2 linked regions of the Danio rerio genome follow. The protein of the gene in region 2 interacts with the protein of the main gene of each other region in a biochemical or structural test. Links are inferred from orthologs where the notes say so. Each region holds a gene or a part of one and is shown on either strand. Other genes may lie near its edges.

Region 1 (3,829 bases), on a different chromosome or scaffold from region 2:
TCTGGCTGAATTTCAAAAAGTTTATTTTCTGGGCACAGATTCTACTTTTCAACCAACAACACTTGCAAGATTTAAACTTACAATGTATTTAGTAAATATTCATGTAAGCAATTTATCCAAAAAGGTTGGCACCTTTACTGCAGTAAACAAAGCAGCATGATGTCAAAAATAGTAGGATTTCATTAACTATACAACATCCTGATATTCGCAGATTTAGTTCAGGGAAACTTTAGCATACAACTATACACTGCATAATCAAAAATGATATCAAACTTAATACCTTGCAAAATAGCATTTTAGACTTTAATAAGTTTTAAGGGCCTTAAATTTCTCTTCATTCGTTTATTAACTTTTAATACTTTAAGACCCTGTGGACACCCAGGCCTTTTAAAGCAAACATACAAAAAAAAAAGAGAGAGAAATAACAAACAGATGATACCTGTCTTTTCAAAACTAGATGTTTTCCTTTCCAGTACTTGAGCATCTGAAGGGACTGCAGTGTACTGACGATATCCACTGGGTTCACTGCAGTCTCTTGACTGATCTCTGAAGAGAGGAAGAAAAAAAAAATGAAGTCAAACCCTTCAGGGATGTCTGATTGAACATGCTTAATTTACAACATTCACATTTGGGGCACAAGAAACTCCTCTTACCTTTAATGGAGATCTCTTTGCCCTTAAAATTGTACATGTAGCGTAGCAGGACTTCCTTCCAATAGCTGCGATAACTGATGAGGCCCAGATCAGAGAGCGGGCGTTCAGGAGAGCCCACCTTCTCTTCAACCTTCGACAGCAGGTAACCTGGAACGCAATAGCAACACAATAGCATGGTATTTAAAAGGTCATAAATCCTGATTTTAGTGTATAATTCTTTTTTTTTTTTTAAATAAATAATTAAAGGGTCATAAACCCTTGACTAAATTTTCCAAGATTTTAACAGATTTGTGTGTTGAACACCAAGACGATATTAGCAAAACTGGCTAATTTTGAGGGTTTTTTCTGCTTACAAATTTTTTTCAATGCCCTATTTTTTTCCATTTCATCTTCTAAAACTAAAATCCACATCACAGGTTGATGTTGCACAGTTTGATATCTGCATTTTATTACTATTTATGATATAGAGTTTTGCACAGAGTTGATGCTTTTCATTTACAGACCAGTCTTTTGAGGAATGTAAACAATAACGACGGTCTTAACGTATTTCCTGTATTGCATTTTTAATTTCTATAGCTTCCAAGAATCGAAAAAATTCCACATATTGATAAATAATATTATGACAGGTTTTAATGTTAAGATATGACTAAATTGCCTCTTGTTACAGTTACAAAATAGTTTGACATAAGTAAATGTTCATGGGTCAGTGACATTGCCATAATGAAATGATCTATGGGAATGCTCAGTTGTTCACAAATATAACCGTCAGAACCTAACCACACACACACCAGGTACTCACTAAAGTCAATCAGCATCTTGCCATAGCCCTGTCTCATGTACTGTGGCATGGTCAGGATACAAGACACATTGTAATTCAGGAACGAGTTCTTCTCCTGCACACATGAAAACAGACAATTATGCTTAAACAGAGAATTTATGATCATGATATAAACATAATGACTTGTTCTGACCAGCCTTTCTTAAAAGAACAGTTCACACATTTGTTTTATTTACTGTAAATTTACTCACTCACAGGTCACACAAGATGTAGACGACTTTATTTTTCTTTAGTACAAGATTAAAGAAGATTTTAGCTGAATCTGTGGATGATTCAAAAGTGACAGGACTACAATCAGGCTACATTCACACATGCATCGTGAACCGTTTGACCAGGCTGTAAATTAATGCTAATAATATTGAAAATAGTGCTCAATTTCTAATGCTGTGTTCACACCAGACGCGGAACGCGCGTCAAGCGCGAGTGATTTACATGTTAAGTTAATGCAAACGCGCGAATGGACATCCTGCGGCGCGATACGCGCGAATGGCGTGGGGCGAATTGAGCGTTTTGCGCATTTGACGCGCTTAACGAGCGTTTCGCGCGAATCTCTCGATTTCAAAAATCTGAACTTCAGTGTAAATTCGCACCGCGTTAACCAATCAGAAGCTTCCTCTTGTGGGGGCGTGATTGTGACGTAGAACCTGTTGTCGGTGTTCCGAGGGAAATCCTCCAGCCTTCACCGACAACAGTTCATCAAACTGGGCTTGGCTCAGTCAGATGCACCGCTAAAAAAAGCCTCCGTCAGCCAGGTTAAGTTGGTTAAGTTTATGAGCTCACAGAGCTGGATGCACCTCTGAAAGAATGTAGTAGACTCAGACACGACCCTAAACGTATCGACGCTGTTTTTCAGTCTTCATAAAGCACATAAACACTGTTATTTTCTTCATAAAATCCATGTTAGCCATTTAGCTATGAAGCTAGTCACAGGGCAGACAGAAGCCCTGCCCATCACGCGAATCCGCGTCTGTTCTGATGTGAATTTGACACGCGAATGAAGCAGGGTTTGACGCGCGTATGAAGCGAGTAAACTCAAATGTTCACGCGGCTATTTACGTGCGAATAGCGCGATTTATCCGTCTGGTGTCTGGTGTGAACACAGCATTACACAGAGCAATCGTTTTGCTTCACAAGACATCACTGTTTCATCAGAAGCCATGGCTATTGATTTGGACTCATTTGTGTTTATTTTAATCTAAAAAAAACTTTTAGCAATCACTGCCATCATATGAATCACCAAGGACCACAGATATATCTAAACATCTCTAAAGTTCTACTGAAGAGAAAAGTCATCTACATCTTGGATGAACTGTGGGTGAGTAAATTAACAGTACATTTTTAGGTGAACTATCCCTTAAAGTGTAAAACTAGTGCACTGTTTGCTGCCAGCACATCAAGAGTACACAATCCAGTCTTCAAATCATTTCAACAAGTTTGATGTTCTCTGAACAGCATTACCATTGCCTGAGCGTAAACGAAAGCAAGTGGTGCTCACTGCAGAGCCACGTGGGCAGAGCTGAGCTCCAGCAAGGGGGAGCTTGAGCTCCAGCTCCTCCTTCCTTGCACTTCTTCTACAAGTGATGTCACTGGGGGGTTGCGGTTAGGGGTGGATGTACGCATTAAAACAGCTTATAGGAGGAGGAGTTGGAGCTCAAGCTCCCCCTCACTGGAGCCCAAGTGGCTCTGCAGCGAGCAGTGTCTCAACAAAAGAGGCTTATGATTAAAAATCTGCCCAAAATTTTACCTTAAATGCAAGTATTGTGAAAATATGTAATGTTATAATAAATTTCAGTTTAAGTGAGTTTCCATAGACTGCACCACTGCATTACCTTTGAGAAATATCCCACAAGGTGACAGCCTGTGTTATCAGCTTCAGTCATGACATAAAACAGGAAAGGCTCCACATCATAATACAGTGTTTTATGGTCCAAAAACAGCTTGGCCAGCAAGCAGAGGTTCTGGCAGTAGATCTGTTGAGACACATGGATGAAAGAAATCAGCTTCATATGTAGCGAGTAAACGTAGAATTTAATTTAGAAGTGAAAACTGCCACACACAAAAAAAACAGATATATCCCAAACGTAAGAGTCATTTTGAAATCATTGCCCACCTTGTTCTTTTTTCCATCAACCTCAAACACAGAGGTGGCACCTTTTCTATAGACTTCATCCCCTGGAGGATGTTTCCACACACATTTGGCCTGTACAGATGACATACAAATGAAAATGTCAAACTTAACTTCACCTTTATAAACATGCCTCCAATACAAACATCTGACTAAACTCAAGCCATAGCAGAGGTTACTATTACTTCATACCATATGTCTGCGCAGGATGGT
Region 2 (3,829 bases):
GTTACATTTAACCCAAATAGGGTATTTGCACAGCTAGTGTTTCTTTCCATACCAATAAACATCTGGTGAAAGCTAAATGTGACTTTTTTCAATTTTATACGCTTCCTTTTACAGCATCCATATTGTAATGTAAATAAAATATAATCAGTTAAACAGACTTCAGCATTCATTTAGTTGTTGAAGCGTAAACAGAGATAAAAAAAGCCTTTATATGTACGCGCTGTCACGATTAGCGAGCTAGCGCAAAAACATAGAAAATACTGGGGTGAAACTAATTTTCATTTTTTATATACATGGCGCCGTGATCAATCAGGCAGTGGAGATCATTTTTAAAGAAAACAGACCTTAAACGTGCCGATTTTGTAACTGCATACAGTTCATCGTAAGCACTTGACCAAGGTTACTGCAAAATTAAAAGTTCTTCTGCATACTTTTGCATATATCCTATTTCTGTGTACAGTATTATTTGTTGCTTTATTCAATTTTTGATCTCAAATTATATTTTATTTATCTGGATTCTGTTCTTTTTCCCTAATTCACAAAAATTTATTATAACAATGAAACTTATAAAATTATAATCGTACAATTTAAAAACCTGATTACATTTTTGGGATTTTTTTTTTTTTTACAAAGAACAACAATTAAGTGATTATTACTCAATGTTTTAATGGTTTTACATATTCTTATTAAAGCTATTACCATTTTAAGAAGCACATCTTGCTGTATATTAGTAAACAAATCAGTCACCAAAGCAAAAGAAATCCAAAACCAAAAACAAAGCCATTGGAGAATTATTGCTATCCTAAAAGAGCTATAAACAAACTGAAATTGAACTAAAAACATCAGAAGACAAAAAAATAAAATGAATGCTTTTGTAAGAATGTGGAAAATATTCATTAAAAACATTAATGAAATTTGCAATATTTCTGGGACATTCTTCATATCTGTACTGTATCCATAACATAATAAGAGATAAACATCAGCACTGTATACCTGAATACAAGCTCCTGTCTTCTCTTTACACAGGCAGCATATTAGAGCCCATCTGTTGCTGGGTATATGAGACACATTAGTGATAGGCTCCATCTTCTCAGGGTTACCAATGCTTACCTAGAGATAAAGAGCACACAACAAAGCCCAGTCTCAGCACACATACTGCTCTTCTGCGTCATTAAGTGAATCACTTTACATAAGTCTTCATTTGTGCGTGCATCCTTACTTCAGGTATCCAGAGGGCACAGCTGACGTGGACCCACTTGGTGCCACTGCGGGTGGGTTTCATGGCTCCGCCTTTTTTAGGGCACAGGTGGCATTTGGGAAAAATACCCAGCGCACAGGTACGGCAAAGCCAGCTGCCCTCAGGGACCTTCAGTATACCATAACACGCCTGTGGAGAGATACATGGTTATGTAATTCATGTGTGCTGGAACATTTCTTCAAAATTTGGTCACAAATTTCTAACTTCAATATGATACCTTAAATATAATGACACTCTTTTTTTTTAAAAACCACAGGAAAAAAAATGCCACAATTACAATATGTATGCATGTCTTAGTTTTTTAATGTGTCAGAGTCAATGACAACCATTTTTATTAGTTGAGTTAAGCCAGTTCTCTAGATTTTCACTAGCCTTGCCAAAATTTTCACTCTCCCGGATAAAAAAAGTAATTAAAGGAGTAAAATAAAAAATATTTGTTTTGTACATTTGTACCATGTAATATTCTAATATCTTTGGACAAATGGTGAATTTAATGAAGTTTAGTTCCTTGCCTCTGTTGCCACTGTCTTGCTTGATTTGGTTTAGATGGATCAATGGATTTGCTCTTCAGGGTTTGGACTTTCAGCAGTGAAATTTAAACCAAACTCAACTGAAATAAACTGAACTTCAACTCTGCAAAACTGCACTGACACTTTTAATTTAACTTCTATGTTAAACTGCTTTAACACAATCTGCACTAAAATCACAATTTTTAATTACAATTTTAGTATTAGAGAAGAAACGACTGGCCTAAATCCGAAAAGACAAACTTTACAAGGACTTTCTATGACCAACGCCCTCAAATGCAAGGGTTTTAATGTGGGAACACATTTTAAGTGAGAGCAAGGTTACGTCATGTTATATGACAGATCTGATATCTGATGCGTGTTTTGCATAAAACTGAAGATTATTTAATACATCCCATACTATATTATAAAATAATCCGATATTAACTTTTGTATGGATTTTGTTGGAAAAGAGTTTAGGCTCATATAACCTGAAGTTTTAAGATATATGAATATGCTTATTTACATTTTCTTGCCTCATGGGTTTACCTGATCTCCTAAAGTAAATCAACTCAACATTATATTAATTAAAATATTTGGCACTTTATGTTTGTCTCTGAAACCGTGAGGTACTATAGTGGTATAGTATGTTTGTGAACATCATGGCAATGTTCAACACAAAGTAACTCATGCGGGAAACACTTATCGTATTGTGCAATTGTGTGTAACTTAAGCAAGCTGTACGCATAAAAGCACAAGTGTTGGTGAAATAACACTTTAGCAGACCGGAGGTCAAATGGATTCTTTTAAAGAAAATGTCTTGAACAAAATAAACTCATTCAACAATCTTTTTCTATGTACACTTAATTAAAAAAATCTCCAGGGACTTGAATTTAATTTTTTTGTTCACACTCACAAACTTTCAAAGATTTCAAGAACCATAATGCTTGTTCTAAGCAGTTCTTGGCTTGTTTCTGTGTTACAGTTTATTTTATTTAAGGTTTGCCTGTGGAAACATAGTGGTGTAAGAATGACTCTTTTTGATGATGGTACAGTCTACTGAGGTTAAGCTAATGTCTTTAAACGTGAACGGTTTGGGTAACCCAATTAAAAGGTCAAAGGTATTGACAAAATTTAAAAAAGAGAAAGCAGATATTATTTTTATGCAAGAAACTCATCTCTCTCAACAAGAGCATGAGAAATTAAAGAGATTTGGCTTTAAAAATACTTATTACAATTCATATGAGCATTCACATAGAAGGGGAATTGCTATTCTTGTTGCTAATAAATTTAAATTCGAATTATATAAGGAAATAAAAGAAAAGGATGGGAGATATCTTATTGTTAAGGGTAAAATTGAAGAGGAATTAATAACTTTAGTAAATGTGTATGCTCCACCCGATACTAGTAAACTGTTCTTCAAATCATTAATGGATGTAATTGTACTGGAAGCAGAGGGTATTTGTATATGTGGTGGAGATTTCAATGTGGTACTAAACCACCATTTAGACACAACTAATAGCAAAAGAAATGGGAGCAAAATATCAAAATTAATTAACACAGCCTGGGATGACATAGGATACTGCGATGTCTGGCGACATATTAATCCATCTCTCAAAAACTACACTCATTACTCAGCTCCCCACCGTACATACTCTAGGATTGATTATTTTTTTATGCCAAAAAATGACTGTTATAGGGTGAAAGATTGTAGCATTGGAGTAGCTGAGGTCTCTGACCACAGCGCTTTGTACCTGACAGTTCAAATAGAAGGAAGGAAGAGAAAGACAGGTTGGAGGTTGAATGTGGGTTTGTTAAATAACAAAGCAAATACAGAACAGATAAAATTAAATATAAAAGAATATATTAGGATAAATGATAATGGAGAGGTAGACCCATCCATAGTATGGGACTCATTGAAGGCTGTGATGCGTGGGAATTTGATTGCACTATCAGCGCAAAATAAAAAAAAGAGAATTATGGAGTACAATACCCTAACATCAGACTTATTAAATGTGGAGCAACAACACAAAATAAACAGGGATCCAAACCTACTATCACGTAT

What was found.
Region 1: the proteins of jade1 (region 2) and kat7b form a complex in vitro, tested with the Homo sapiens proteins (2 studies listed by BioGRID). The link is inferred for Danio rerio from reciprocal best matches to the Homo sapiens genes JADE1 and KAT7.

What each region holds. Positions count from the first base shown.
Region 1 is NC_133187.1:6,533,875-6,537,703, forward strand, and holds part of kat7b (histone acetyltransferase KAT7), read right to left. Parts: coding exon 3,809-3,829; intron 3,692-3,808; coding exon 3,602-3,691; intron 3,462-3,601; coding exon 3,321-3,461; exon of another isoform or gene 3,165-3,320; intron 3,029-3,164; exon of another isoform or gene 2,660-3,028; intron 1,547-2,659; coding exon 1,453-1,546; intron 801-1,452; coding exon 654-800; intron 547-653; coding exon 440-546; intron 1-439. UniProt on the Homo sapiens protein: Catalytic subunit of histone acetyltransferase HBO1 complexes, which specifically mediate acetylation of histone H3 at 'Lys-14' (H3K14ac), thereby regulating various processes, such as gene transcription, protein ubiquitination, immune regulation, stem cell pluripotent and self-renewal maintenance and embryonic development.
Region 2 is NC_133192.1:28,308,445-28,312,273, reverse strand, and holds part of jade1 (protein Jade-1), read right to left. Parts: intron 1,388-3,829; coding exon 1,220-1,387; intron 1,111-1,219; coding exon 994-1,110; intron 1-993.